Linked DNA regions of Coturnix japonica. The protein of the gene in region 1 interacts with the protein of each later gene in a pairwise test. Links are inferred from orthologs where the notes say so. Each region holds a gene or a part of one and is shown on either strand. Other genes may lie near its edges.

Region 1 (7,738 bases):
CTGGCCTAGCTTTGGTTCTGTTTTGCGTGGGTTTGTTGTTTTTATTACCTGGAAGCAGAGAGGTGAGGCATAAATGCCAGAGAGCGAGTGGGAGCCCTGCTGATAGGTTCCCTGGGAGGAAAAGCCAAACGATGCTGAGAGACATACCGCTCCGAGCTCAGCTCTTGCAAAAAGAGAGCCCAGGCATCCTGCAGATGCCAGCACGCTTGTGCGTCTAAATGGGAGTTCTGGAAAGGAAAAATTAGTAAGCGTATGCGTACAGCTGGTACACACATGCAGAAGGAAACCAGCTCCAGCAAAGCCAGACCTCTGCTCAGCTTCCAATCTCTCAACTCCAGCCATCGCCTCTAAACACAAACCTCTGAAATCCAAAGAGAAACACGGGCATTGCCTGCAGGGGTACTCAAGTATCCACAATACTTGATTGGGGCTTTCCATTTTCCCGAATATGGCAGGAAAAGAGCCAACTTTAAAGTGCTCCCAGCACCTCTATAATCCCAACTTTCAGCCTGCGTGCCAAAAGGGTGCTTTGAACTGGAGTTTTTCTAAGCCTTCCCAGACAGTGTCAGGTAACTCCGAACACTCAAATATTTAAAACAAAAACAGAACAGCAACAACATGAAAAAAACAACCATAGGTCAAAAGCAAACAGAGAAGTAACAACAAAGGAAAAGGTGATTCCCTACACCTCAGTACCTCCACAACAGCCTGTCCAAACAGCATCCCACCAACTTCATCCTGGACCCAAGGCAGGGGTCAGCTTTGTAAAAGTGGAATTCCATTCCTCATCTTGGATATCTCAGACATTTTGTGTTGCTGCTTCTTTACGAAGACGGTCACGGCATGAATAATAAGAGGGGGGAAAAGCTAACCTGATTTTGAGTCATGCTTTGCCATGATGAATTGGAACTAGGTGTTCCCCTCCATGAGATTTAAATACTCCGATTTCCACAGGGTCACACGCGGTTCAGAAGCTGTTGTTCACAGGCCTCTTCTGTTTCACAGCCCCAGTCAGCCCCTCTACTCATAAAAGCCTCAAAACCATCTTTGGAAATTAGTAGCAGATCCATCTCTCATCCTCATCTGAAGAACCACAGAGGGTCCACAGCTTGAACCATGAAACCACGGAACAGGCCAGTCATTGAGATCCCTCCCATGCACACCACTCGAGGTTAAGCACACAGCTCCATTTCAGACCACGCAGGAATTTTCACCTCAAACTGGCAACAGCCATCGCATCCCTGCCTGGACCTCTTCTGCTACAAAGGACTGATGCCAAAGCACCAGCCATCTTTACAAACCCCATGCTAACATGCCAGAATGGCAACACAAAGTCACTTGTTGCAGCCATTAAAAGTTCACGTGGACTAGATAAGGCGCAGGCCAGAAGCTGTGTTAAACACCCTCCCTGATCAGCCACATCCCAGGGACTCGGGGATACTGAGCACAGAAGTCGTTCTTGAAGAAGGATCAATTCCGCACACTCTTCATCTAACTCCTACCACATTACTCTCAGACACACTTTTAATTCACTAACCAGAGCAGACCTCAGAAAAATTAAATCAAAATTCACCTTGGGGACCGAATCAACTCATTCAACCCCATGCAAAGCTACAAGCTAGTTTAATAACAACTTCCCTCAGCAGCTTAAGCCAGCTGGCACACCTTTAGCACAACGACAGGGAAGGAACACAGCATCTTGACTTGACAGCCTCATCTACAGCCCTGAAGAGAAAGAAGGGGCTCTTCCCCACTGGCCGCTGTTCCCAGTGTTCCTCGCACGATTAAAGACAAGCTTACTGCAGGAGAACTTTCCATCTGTACAGCAACCCCGTCTGAAAAGCATCAAATACAGCTGCATCAACAACTGCCTCGGGGTGAAGTTTCACCAGTGACTGAGGCCAGTATACTGTCATCCCCTCTGTTGGGGATGATTTTTACGCAGATCAGGGGGCTGATCCAAACGATTCCACTCACCCAAGCCTGCAAGCAACGAGTGATCCCATTCCTAGCTAGGATCTAAACAGTTAAAAAGCAGCAGTACCTCTGGGGCCCTTCTTTTCCAAAGCTTACAAACACACCCAAATACTTTCAGGAGACATTCCTGGCCAGCGGTTTTTGCCACTCACACACTAAAGGGAGCTGGAAAGCAGCAGGTTGTGCACGACCATTCCTCCCGTGCCACGATTAACTGCGATCAGTCCCAGGAGCAGATAGCAGCCATGATCCGATTTGTCCCAATCCCAACTCAAGCAGCTTTGCACCACCCTCCTAACAAGATCAGCTCTGGCCAAACACCGTTTATCCGGCCTGATCAGAGATGGATTAGATAATGAAACCCTAACGGCATAAGCTGTCTGAGCACGCAGCAAAAAGCAAGAAGCCCCATAAACATAAGGGCTACTGGCAGCTCTCAGGCTCTCTTTGCCTCAAGTTCTCGGCAACCAGCCGCTACCTTCCCATAGACTAGGCTTGATATTTCACGTTACCAGACAACACCAGCAACAACAACAAAAAAGCCACTCTTCATTTTCCAGTTGCGTTACTAATTGCTGTAGCTAAATGATTGCTCCCAGCACCAGAAGCGGCGTTCACATCCTGAGCCATCAGTTGTGCACGGAAGGAACCGTGGCAAGCGCGGCACCCCGGGATCCCTCCCAATCAGCCTCGAAACACGAGGTCATGGAGTTTGCACAGCAGCAGCCCGTGGCCCGGGAGCAGGAAGTAGAAAATTGACAGGATCTGCAGGAAAAACAAGGTACAACAGTCGCTGGTGTTAATTCCAGCCTCCAGAAAGCCTGCAGTACATATGAAAAAAGCAAAAGAAGTAATCAAAGAATAGGCTCTTTATTCTGCTTGTAAGCATTACATACAGTTAAACACAGAGAAAATGCTAAAGAAAGACCCGTTATTTGAAAGCAAAGTAACTTCAAAAGACCACACTATGTGAACAGAAACACTGATGAAAGCCACCTTATGGTCCATCTTCGCTTCTTGGGACAAAGATGTAGAATTTAATTTCCCGGATGTTTGGCAGTGTTGGGCATTGATACCCAGCCCCATCCATTCCTACTGTGCTAACATGGCTGTGTGTGCCCACTGAGGGAGCCCCACCACTGCAATCCTACTGCCTCGAAGCAGTCAATGAGCAGAAAACAAAATACTTTCCTTCATCTGAATGTGGAGCACAGCTTTAATGGATACAGACAACGTATATGTAAAAAACTGAATTTTAGGGCTGTTAAACCAGATCAAGTCCCTTGGTGGGGAACTGTCAGTAGGTTGACTGGTCCACATGGATACCACCCAGCTTGGCACCAGCTGCAGCACAACGGGTACATGTCCCACAGCAGCACAGGACCCAGTGGCACCCAGCACCCTCATGCCATGCCCAGGCCTCACGTGCAGGCAAAGCTGCAGCCTCACAGAATCACAAAACCATTAAAGCTGGATCTAAGATCACCTGGTCCAACCAGCAGCCCATCCCCACCATGCCCACTGACCACGTCCCTCAGTGCCACATCCACACAGCTCTGGAACACCTCCAGGGACGGTGACTGCACCACCTCCCTGGGCAGCCTGTGCCACTGCAGCACCGCTCTTCCAGGGAAGAAATCTTTCCTCATATCCAACCTGAACCTCCCCTGGTGCGACCTGAGGCCATTCCCTCTCACCCTATCACTGTTACCTGGGAGCAGAGGCCGACCCCCACCTCAGCACAACCTCCTCTCAGGTCACTGTAGGGAGCGATGAGGTCTCCCCTGAGCTCCTCCGCACAGCCCCAGCTCCCCCAGCCGGCCCACGACTCGCTGTGCTCCCTCAGAGGCACGAGGCTGCAGCAGCGCCACACGGCACGAGCGGGAGGCCTCCAGGAGGGCCCGCGAGGACCAGGGGCAGCCGGGGAATGGGGAGGGAGAGTCACGGGACAACGAGAGGAGCCGGGGATGCTGCGGCGAGCTGAAACTCTCACCGGTAAGAGAGACCGAGCGAGGAGAAGTTGGGATGGATACATTGCACTGCTCCCACCATAGATGTGCTACGAGGAACTGAAGCCAAGAAAAAAGGGGGGAAAAAAAAAAAAAAAGGAAAAAAAAAATCCTATCCCGCTTTGCCATAATGAAGCGACCCACAATAAAGCGATCCACAATAAAGCGATCCACGCGCACACAGACAAAGGGAAGCACCCACGCCCCGGCGAGGGGCACAGCCCGCACCTGGGCACGGCGCCGCTTACGGCCCCGCCGCACCCCGCACCCCGCGCCCTCCGCGCGGCCCCGGGACACGCCGTGCGTGTGCGGGCCGGGCCCCGCGGCCTCGCTACCTGCATGCCGCCGCCCTCCGCCTCCGCCTCCGTCCGCAGCCGCTTGCTGTGGCCGCCCTCGGCGCCGTCCCCGCCGGGCATGGGTTGCTCCAGCTCCGGCTCCCGCTTCACGCCGCGGGCGGCCCCGCCGCCGCCGCCGGTCAGGAGCTGCGGCTGTGGCTGCTGCTGCTGCTGCGGGGGCTGGCCGCCCTCCGCCATCCGCGCCGCCGGAGCCCCGGCCGCCCCCCGCCGCGGTCGCCCCGCTCTGTCACCGCGCCGCCCGGCCCCGCCGGAGGACAGCAGCAGGAGGACGAGGAGAAGGAGCGGGCGGAGGAGCTGCGTGCGAGCGCGGCGGGCTCCGACCCACCGGAGCGCCTCGGTCACGGGCTCGGCGGCGGCCGGGGAGGGGCCGAAGCCCCTCGGCAATCTCCGGAGGTGCCGAAGCCGCGCGACCCCCACTCGGCAACCTTCGGCGACGGCGGAGGGCGGGGCGAGGGGAGGGGAGGGACGGCGGGGCGGGGCGGGGCCGCGGCGGGGCACGGGGCGCACGGCGGAGGGCGGAAAATGGCCGCCTCGATACGGCCTCGCCGTGCCCGCCGCCTCCCGCCGGCGTGAGGCGTCTGCGCTGCGGGAGGAAGGCGGGGGGCTGAGGCTGCTACCTGCGGGTGAGGTCGGTGGCTTCGCCTCAGAGCGCCGCGCTGATGGGAGCCCCGAGTGTGGGGATGCGCTGACTGGGCGAGCGGTGATCCACTTTCGGACCCTCACAGCGTGTTTCTGATGTGTAACTAAGCATAACAGAAGCCTAAGGCCTGTACATCGGCCCGTGTCTGTAACCCTGTGTCAGAGGAAAACAATCACGGAATCGTTAAGGTTGGAAAAGACCTCTAAGAGTATCTGGTCCAACCAGCAGCCCATCCCCACCATGCCCACTGACCACATCCCTCAGTGCCACATCCACACGGCTCTGAACACCTCCAGGGACGGTGACTGCACCACCTCCCTGTGCAGCTTGTGCCACTGCAGCACCTTCCTCATATCTCAATCTTTCCTCATATCCAACCTGAACCTCCCCTGGTGCACCTTGAGGCCATTCCCTTTCATCCTATCACTGTTATCTGGGAGCAGAGGCCGACCCCCACCTCACCACAACCTCCTTTCAGGTCGTTATAGAGAGCAATAAGGTCTCCTCTGAGCCTCCTCCAGACTGACCAACCCCATTTCCCTCAGCTGCTCCCCATCACACTTGTGCTCCAGACCCCTCACAGCTCCACTGCCCTTCTATGGACACGCTCCAGGGCCTCCATGTCTTTCTGGCAGTGAGGGGCCCAGAACTGAACACAGCACTGGAGGTGCGGCCTCACCAGAGCTGAGTACAGAGGGATGGTCACCTCCCTGCTCCTGCTGGCTGCACTAATGCTGGTACAAGCCGGGATGCCGTTGGCCTTCTAGGCTACCAGGCACACTGCTGGCTCACATTCATCTGGCTGTCAACGAACACCACCAGATCTTTTTCCTCCACACAACTTCCCAGCTGCTCTGCCCCAGACCTATAGCACTGCATGGGGTTGCCGTGATCACAGTGCAGCACCCGAAACTTGGTCTTGTTGAAGCTCATACAATTGGCCTCAGCCCATTGATCCAACCGGATCAAAAGGAGTCAACCAGAAATGGCAGTGGTCACAATGTGCCAGCACACACACAAGGAAGCCATGCTCTACTTCTCGAGAGTGCCGTGCAGCCTGGACACCCACTAGGTGGTCTTGGTGGGTCCCTACAGGCCTGCTGACATTAAGAAAACCATACAGCTTTTGGCTGCGAGTGGCAGTTACAATGCTTGGCTCCAGTCTTCCCATACACCACATTTTTCTTCATCCAAAAATAGTCTTCAAGGCCACGTTAAAAGCTATTTTAAGTGGTATGTTTTTGCTATGAGGTGCCAGTTTGTCTCCTCCAGTGACAGGGAAATCTCTTTTTTTTTTTTTCAGAACGATTACAAATCCCCACGGAGTGGCAGGCACCCAGAGGACAATTACACGCAGCTTCAGTCTGCTCGCCCACCGAGGGTAAACACATGTCTCATTCATCTCAACCGGGTTTGATAAAGTGAGCCAGGCTGTCAAACAACACTGAAGGCACACGTTCAAGTCTGCCCTTAGCTCGAAAAGAAGTGCAGAGTCTCGTGGCTGAGATGCTGCTCCTTGGGAGAAAAGCATCTTCATCCTTATCTTCATCCTAATTTCAGTGGGGCAGCTGTGAGTGGAGATCACAGGTGAAGATACTGCCTGTGAGATGTTGCAGGATGCTTCAAGTGCTTCTTACAGGATTCAGCCTGGATTCAAGTTAGAAGTAAACAGTTTAGAAACAAATCTATATGAGCGCACTTGATTGCCCCCCTCTCTGATAGTCACACGTCTGTGATATGTCTGATATTCTCCCTGAGAAATACTGCAAGACAGAGTTGCTCTGTGGTACCCCACTCCACTTCTACCTACCTTCCCCTACTCCCATCCCTCTCAGCTCTGGCCTGTGAGTGATGCTGAGGGCAGGTCCCCTGACAAGGCATTTTTGGCAGGGCAGCAATAGACCCTGGAGAGCCCTCAGTGCTGGTGTGCGTGGAATAGTCAACAAGAGTCCCTGTGCCTTCGCTGCCAAGCCAACCCTCAGTTTCCACTGGTGTGCTGTGTGCTAGTGCTTGCTTTCTGTCATTGCTGCCATCCCTGCAGGTGTTCAAGGCCAGGCTGGATGTACCCCTGGGCAGGGTGGTCTAGTATTAAAGGGGGAGGTTGGTGGCCATGCCTGTGGCATGAATTGGAGGTTCATGATCCTTGAGGTCCCTTCCAACTCGGGCCATTCTGTGATTCTGCCGTGATGCTTTGTCTTAGCATTTCTCTGGCTCTATGCATTTCCACTTAAGAAAAGATTAATGAATTGATCTTCGCAGTGTGCTTGTGGGATGGGAATTACTTCCATTTAGCAGAGGAGATGGGAGGCATTCCTGGAGTCACAAAAAAGCCTTGGAGCTGGGACTACAATCATAATCTGTTGATTTCTTTTCACACAACCCAGCTGCCTGTTAGGTATGTGTATGTGCCATCTGAGACTGCTAACCAGACAGCTGCCTCTGCTGTTAACCCTTTCTGCAGCACAGCACTCCTGCCTATTTGCCATTATGTTATGCACAATTCTGTGAAGTGCTTGTCAATGCCTTGTCTTTGACAGACTGAGAGGCAGCTATGAGAAATTCTGTCCTTCCAGAGAACTCTCAGAAGCCGATACATAGAATCACAGACCACATCCCTCAGTGCCACATCCACACGGCTCTGAACACCTCCAGGGATGATGACTACACCACCTCCCTGTGCAGCCTGTGCCACTGCAGCACCGCTCTTACTGAGAAGAAATCTTTCCTCATATCCAACCTGAACCTCCCCTGGTGCA
Region 2 (7,738 bases), on another chromosome or scaffold:
AAAGTTATCCTCCTTAACCCCTATCTAGATGCTTTATTATTACTGCTATTCAAGCACAGTCAGCCTACTTGACATTAAATTAGGTTTCTCTCCAAAAGCTGGATGCATGGCTTCACTCATATTTCAGGGAAGGCGCACTTCAGTCACCTTCAGCTTAAAGAAGAAGGAATTCCTGGTGATATTTTTTTGTCAAAACCTTCTTTGACAAAAAGAAGGTTTTGGAAAAAAAAAGTCTATGCCACAGCTTAGATCTGCATCCATTCCAATCAATGACCACCTTCTGAGCAGCTACAGGTTCAAGCAAACAAAGCTCTTAAATATAATTACATTACGCGGATCTTATTTTATGATTTAGGTTCATTTGTTCCAAGTCTGTTGAAAGAAAAGCACCAAAGTAACTCACGAAATTTCAGTAGGTCAGAATGCATTTAGAGATCTAAATGTCCGATTTATTAAAAAATGTAAAGCAAGAAAGATGGTACAACACATTCATTTTACACAACAGGGGAAAAGTTATTCCCCCAAAACATATGTGTGCGTGTACGCATATATACGCATCTTCTAGGTTAGAATCATTAAAGTTAATAATATTAAGAACTTGAAGCACAAAAAAAAAAATCTATCAGGTCACATTTGATGGTGCAAACAATGACAGGAAATACAGCCTATTCCACGTTCAGGAAAAGCCCTCTCTTCCCACAGGTTTGCACTAGGCTGATAAAAACAATCCAGTTTCCTAGTTATTATGATGTGCGCTTTAAACATCCTCACTGCTCCACAAAAGCCTTATTTACACACAAGAAGTTGAAAGCACACTTATGCAAAAATATCTGTAACCTAAACAAAGCTGTGACTTTCCTATTTTATTAGGAAATAGTTCATTAACAGAAGTTTCCTCCATACACTGCTCACATTAATGCCCATCTTAAAAACAAATGCTGTCAAGCTGAGACCATCTACTAAATTAAGCACTACGATTTTCAGAGATCAGACAAGAGGACAGAGCTCAGAAAGGAAGATGTACTTTGGCTATCAGGAATAGGTCAAAAATGAGATGCGTGTTCTGAGACCTACTCAGATTAGATGTACAGTTAGTCTAAATCTCTGAGTTCATTTCTGTGTACAGAAGATTTCTGTGTTCAAGGAGTGATCAATACACACACCGGTCTGATTTTAGCTTTTAAATTTCAACGTGTAAAGCAAATAAAATTAAGAAGATGGGCATTCTGGTAGAGAAAGCAATGCTACGCTGCTTCTGAGCTCCCAGGTTTGTGGCGTGCGTTCTTTGTTTAGGCTGGTAGAAAATAAAATACAAAGGCTGACAGTCCAACAGTTGTCTGGAAGTACTGGACTTCTCAAACATACACAGCACCTTCGGGAGGATGGCCCTACAATAAGCACCACCTGAACCACAGAATTCCAAGCAAGAAGCAGCACACCAACCCCACAGTGTCAAGGGGAAACACCAACACTACGTGCTTTTACACACATACAACCAACACATGCAGACACCCGTCCCTCTTGTTTTCATACTCTCATGGGTGCAAGGAAACAACTCATGGAAGTGTTAAATATTACACTTCTAAGGAAACGTTCTGAATCTTACAGACTCTTCCAGCAAGCTACAAAACTCTGCTGGAGAATGTCAACGCAGCAAACAGCTGAAGGCAGTGAAGAGGGAGCCTTTAGGCAGCCAGGACAGCTGTTGCACAGAACGAGCTGCTCTGGCCTCTCAGCTGTGCATCACAATGACTATCCCACCTATGCAATACTGCCTATACGGCACAGGCCATGTACAAGTCCGTACCAACAAAGACACGCACGCAATTCCACAGCTATTTCCGTCGATCTTTGGTATGTGCTCCTAGATGAGTTAATTTCGCTATTCAAGTTCCTAATGGCGTTCAGAGGCCGGCCTCACGCTTCAGAAGAAAAATAACTGGCGCCCCTTAGTGTTCAGATTTTGAAGTCTTCAAGCAATTGACTCATTTGCATGAAACAGTTTGCTTTTTTTTCTCCAACATTCCAAAAAGTTTTCAGCCTCCACAATACTTCCATCCAACTGCCAACGTAAACAGGAAAAGCAAAATCGCTTAAAGGGATTGCAGAAATATTCTTGAGACTGTTTAGAAACACACTATTTGGTTTATTTTAATGAAGTGCACAAAGAAGAGCTTCAACACAACTCTTCGACAACTTTTTCTCTCAGAGTCCCCACAGCCCTCGTTTGGGAATTGGAATAGTTCAGAAAACAGCTGTCCAGAGCGTTTAGTATTTCGAAAAAGAAAATCAAAATGTCAGAGGGTGCCTGGATTTTAGATATTCCTTTGTGTGCTTTTTTGTACAGAAAATGTTTTCCTCTCTTTTGTTCTCTGAGGAAAAAAAACAACAGCAACAAAACAAACAGAACAATCTGGGCCTCCTCTGGTTCGAGTATATCGAGCTGAAGAGGTTTCGAAATTCAGAACTCCAACACCAAGTCCCTGTGAGGCTCTTCTGGCTTCAGAAAACAAACAAAAAAAAAATGAAGAAATCTTCTCAGTTATGTTTCTTCCCACTGTTTCCTATACTTCTAAATGTTGTGAAAAGAACGCTTGGTGGAGTGAACAAGAAAACACCATGTTCTATGTAGTTTTGCTTTCCACATCCAGATGTGCTCTGCTGGAAGTTCACCTCCCCAAATTCTTGAAAGTAAAACCAGAACTTCCCATGATACCGCTCCCACGGTCCATCTCCTGCGTCGTCCACTTTTTTGTGCTGCTCCATTGCTCATTCCGAAGCCACCATTCCAAATAGGTCGGGTTTGCAGCACTACAACCACTATCTGTTTTTCACAGTCTCGGAGAGGGCGGGGAGTTGTTCTACCAAATATAACCAGAGCCTTCATCTCCCGAGGTCAACAACTTCCCAAAGTTCTGTTATCAAGGAGGACTATGTCCACCACCAGGAATCCTAACTCTGAGATTATGAAACCGGGTAACTTCACGCAAAGAATCTCAAGAAGTTGAGGCTGCATAAATAATTCCTAGCTTCAGAACGTGTTACAAATACGCCAAACAGGTCTAACTCAGTGCAAAGCATGAGTTTGAGGTGGAGTGAAACAAAATGCTTCTAACGAGAAAACTAAACGCGCGAACCCAGGCACAAAGCAAATTTAAGTGCCACGAACGATCGCCCGGCCTGACGTCCAGTACAGTGGGGCTATTATCACATGGAGAGAGCCGTGTGGGACGCACCTAGTTGCCAGCCTTTACTTTCCCTTTCCCCCAGACGCCGTTACCCATCAACAGAACGTGGCCCTACGGGGCCGCGCACAAAGAGGGGCACCCCCCCCTTTCCCAGAGCAGGAGCTGCCCCCGGGGCCGCCGGCGCCCGGCCGGAGCCAACGAGGCCATTTCGTAAGCACGGGGTGTTTTTCTCCCCGCTCAACTCGCACATACGAGTCTTTCAAGTTAGTTTCTGCAGCAGGGAGAGCAGGGAGGAGAGCCGGCCCTCTGCTCTCCACTCCCCACTCGAGGGGACCGCCAGCGTTCCTCGGCCGCTCGGCTCGGGTGGGGCGCGCCGCGGCCGGAGCTCGGCCCCCCGCCCCCCGTAGGCCCCGCTCCCCCCTCCGGCACCGGCCCGGCCGCGCCGCGGGCCCCGCTCCTCCTCCTCCCCCCGGAGCGCATTCCTCAGCTCCGCGCCTCTCTCCCTCCCCCCCCCGGGCTCCCGAGGACGGGAGAAAAGAGAAAATAAAATAATACTAAAAACACTGCGGAGGGAACGCCGAGAGCCGGGACCCGCGGCGCGCAGGCAGCGGCCGGGGCGGGGAGAGCCCGCACTTCCCCTTTGTTTGGGGCGCACCGGCAGCGCGGAGCGGAGCAGGCCCGGCGCTGCCCCCGCCGCCGCGAGGGGCCCGGCTCGGGGAGGGAAGGGCCGGGCGGGGCGCGTACCTTCGTCCAGCAGCCACTCGAGGTGGTTGAAGATCCCGCAGAAGTTGGGGAGGCTGCTCATCAGCTTCTTGTTGTTCATCAGCTGCATCAGGTAATCGGGGCTCGGCTTCGGCTTCTCCTTGGCTTCCATTTCCCCAACCATATTCCAAGCCCGCGCGCACAGGGCGAGCGCCCGCAGCAGCTCCGCCGAGCGAGGCGACGGCGACACGGGGCGCCCGGCGGGATCGGGCGGGCCGGCGGGGGAGGGGCGGGGCGGGGAGGGAGCTCCCCGAGGAAGGAGGAGGAGGAGGAGGAGGAGGAGGATTCCGAGCCGCGAGCGCCGCGCTCCCGAGTCCGAGGGGCCGGCGGGGAACAAGGAAAAAAAAAGCAAAGTCGGAGAGACCCCGCTGTGGGCGCGCCCTCCGCCCCGGCCGCGCGGAGTCATCGCCGCTGCCGCCGCCTCTCGGGGCCGCCGCTCCCCCGCTCCGCGCGCCCTCGGCCGGTGCGGTCCCGGCCGCGTCCCCGCTCCTGCTGCCGCCGCCGCTCCTCCCGCGCCGAGCCCGGCTCCGCTCCGCGGCGGGGGAAGGGAGGGAGGGAGGCGGGGAGGGGACGAGCGGGGCGGGCGGGCGCTGGCGCTGCCAAGGAGCCGCCGCCGCCGCCGGGCTCTCTCCGCCGGTGCCGCTGTTGTCGCCGCCGCGCTGCGCCGGGCGCGTCCTCCTCTGCGCCTGCCGCCTGCCGCCCGCCCGCCCTCCCGCTGCCGCCGCCGCCGCCGCCTGTGGCTGTGAGCGTCAGCCCCGCCGCCGCCTCCTCACTTCTCCTCAGTTCGCTCTGGAGTTCGCTTCAGTTCAGGCTGCGCTGGCAGCAGCGGCAGCGGCGGCAGGAGGAGGGGAGGGGGCAGGGCCCGCGGGGGCGGGGACATGCCGGGGGCGGGACGCCGGGCGGGGCGGCCGTTACGCGGCGGCAGCAGCGCCGCTTGGCGGAGCCAACCGCTGCCGGCTGCCGGCTGCCCGCGCACGGCGGGGCCGGGGGGCGGGGCTCCCTCCGACACACCCGCTCGGAGGCTGCGCGCACCCGGAGCTGCCAAACAAAGTCGAGGCGCTGAGCCCGCTGCGCTGCCGGGAGGGGACGGGGCGGGGAGAGCCCCAGCGCCGAGCGTCTCGCGCGGTGAGAGGAGCACACGGAGCCGCCGAGGGAGGGAGGCGGTCGGCAGCGCCGAGCATGCGCCGCCGTGGAGGAGGAGTGGGGGGAGAGGGGCGGTGCGAGCGGAGAGAGGAGCGGGTTGTAATAATCCTTAAAGCGGCAGCGCGGCTGGAGCGGGAGCGGCGTGGGATGAGGTGCGGGGTGAGGTGCGGGGTGAGGTGCGGGGTGAGGTGCGGGGTGAGGTGCGGGGTGAGGTACGGGGTGAGGTACGGGGGGCTCCGCCTCGGGGAAAGGGACCGCGGCCATCTCCGATAACTCTTTATCTGAGATAGACACAATGATTTGTATTTCGCTTCCGTTTGGTTTATGTGAAGTAAAATGTAATGGTTTATGTAAGATAAGCCTCATTGCTTCCATTATTTATTTATTTTTTTTAAATCATCTTTATTATGAAAGAGAGTAGCGACTTTGCAGGCTGTTTTGCTTTGCTTTCTTCAGATGTGTGTTGCTGGTCCCTGTGTTGCATGCCCGGAGCACCCTGCAGCATGGCTATGGATGATGACACGGTGCTGCTGCTATTCAGTGACAAGGCTGTATTTGTTCCATTCCTCTCTTGTTCTAGAAGCATGATGAGCAATACCAAACCTTACATGCCAAACCAGACCGCCGTCCTTTTCTGGAACAGGCTGCCCAGGGAGGTGGTGGAGTCTCCTTCTCTGGAGATATTCAAGACCCTCCTGGACGCCTACCTGTGTGACGTGGTGTAGGGAGCGTGCTTTGGCAGGGGGGTTGGACTCGATGATCTCTAGAGGTCCCTTCCAACCCCTACAATTCTGTGATCAGCCTGAAGGGTGGTGTGTTATTGTTACCATTTATTTATCTGCTAGTTTTTGAGCAGCGAGTGGGAGAACTGCTCTGATCTGATTGAGGCCGTCAGTGTCAGGCTGCATCTTACAATTAGATGAGCTTAGATAATGTCAGAATAATAATTCTGGACTACCAGTTCTCACAGTAAAAATAGCATATGGAGATTTTTTATTTTTTTCAGAAGATTCGGTACAGCTGTTCCCATGCTGCTTCATTATTGCTTCCTGCACATAAAGTGCTTCCACTGTTTGGATATGAGCAGGTGAAGCAAGTACACAATATAAGGTAAGAAACACCAACATCAGATGTGCAATAACTATCTGTTGTCTTGCCTACTGAGAACAATAAATCTTCTACTAAGCTATTTTCCATTTATTTACTGGTGAACAAGATGTTGCACACCAGCAGTTACTGGAATCACTCATGCATTTCAATGCAAATTCAAGCTCTGCTTTGCCACGCGTTAATCTGAATTGTTTTTCTAATCTGAACGGTACAAAAATGGAGGCAGAGCTACATGCTGAGGCTGCCTGCGTAATTAAGGATAAATGACTTAGGGAAAACCTCTCATCTTTTATTTTGTCACAAGTGCCTCGAGACTGAACTTAAATCATTGGAAAAATGCCCTTGGAGAAGCCGAATGCTGTGACAAAATGTAGACATCGCGCCATTAGTTTTAAATAAGTAGATCAGTATGACATCTTTCTTCATCAAGTATTCTGCAAAAACAGAAAATCTACATAAAAGCCTGTCTGCATACCTTGTGTTCTGTGTTCTTCCACCTTCCTGCACTTCCAGGAAATGGGAATGCATGGGAGTAAAGGTTGAATTAGTTCTGCTTCAAGATCAGCGTGAAGGTATAACTCCCAAAAAGACTGGCCTGCCTGCAACCTAATCTACAGAAGCAGCAGAAATACTCCTGCTTTGGATTGAACTTTGGAGTTTTCCCAGGGGGGGAAGAAATATAGAGGGGGCAGGGCTGGGTAAACAGGGATTGTGGGTTGGGAGGGAGATGGTGTAGTATTGGTGGGGGCGGGCATCTTTTTTGTTCCTTTAGTTTTTTGTTGGACATTAATCAGGTCCTATGGCTTGTCAAGTTTCTTCAGGTAACTACATAACCCATTAGTTTCTGTCGGAACACCAACAGAAGTCCTTATCTTTAACTCCTGCGTTTTATCTAGGTAGCCTTTCTTGTGTCATATAAACTGTAGTATTCTCCAGCAGCTTATTTTTTAAAGGTGAAGTTTTATTGCATTAATCTAATCTTGAAATAAGAAAAAAATATGATTATGCCGGCAGCAGTCTCTGTCTATGGCAGTAAAGGCCTCACACCGATCATAAAAAGCAAATTCAATTACTGCTATAGTGTTCCTATCTGATAGCAGCTTGGGAAGTAGGAGTGCTAAAGGTTGATGACTACTGGGAAACATTCTTTAAAGCATCTCTGTTGACTTAGTCATAGGCACATACAGTTGGATGGCATCAGCTTTCTGAAATGCTTTCTATAACAGGAAGACACCAACGTGCCATGTTGCCCTCCTTCAGGAAAGGAAGCAGTTCTTCCCTTACCCATTACAGTCATCCAAGGAAAAATACTACTCCAGGACTGTTGTCAATTCATTCACAGTGTACAAGGCGGTAGCAGCTGTACCTATGATGCAGCAGATGTGGCCACTACCAGCAGAACATCTGAAATTCATTCATCTCTCCAAGGTGACTAAAATACGAACAGAGTAATGTTTAGAGCCAGACTGAAAATATCAAGAACATCAACAATATTCAGGTTCTGTGATGCCGTGACAAGTGCTGAAAAGCTATTT

What was found.
Region 2: the proteins of RBFOX2 (region 1) and QKI interact in binary tests that used the Homo sapiens proteins (3 or more experiments, as listed by UniProt). The link is inferred for Coturnix japonica from reciprocal best matches to the Homo sapiens genes RBFOX2 and QKI.

Annotation. Positions count from the first base shown.
Region 1 is NC_029516.1:47,337,228-47,344,965, reverse strand, and holds the start of RBFOX2 (RNA binding protein fox-1 homolog 2), read right to left. Parts: upstream 4,535-7,738; 5' UTR 4,520-4,534; coding exon 4,322-4,519; intron 1-4,321. UniProt on the Homo sapiens protein: RNA-binding protein that regulates alternative splicing events by binding to 5'-UGCAUGU-3' elements. Prevents binding of U2AF2 to the 3'-splice site.
Region 2 is NC_029518.1:39,801,499-39,809,236, forward strand, and holds the start of QKI (protein quaking), read right to left. Parts: upstream 4,714-7,738; 5' UTR 4,357-4,713; coding exon 3,933-4,356; intron 1-3,932. UniProt on the Homo sapiens protein: RNA reader protein, which recognizes and binds specific RNAs, thereby regulating RNA metabolic processes, such as pre-mRNA splicing, circular RNA (circRNA) formation, mRNA export, mRNA stability and/or translation.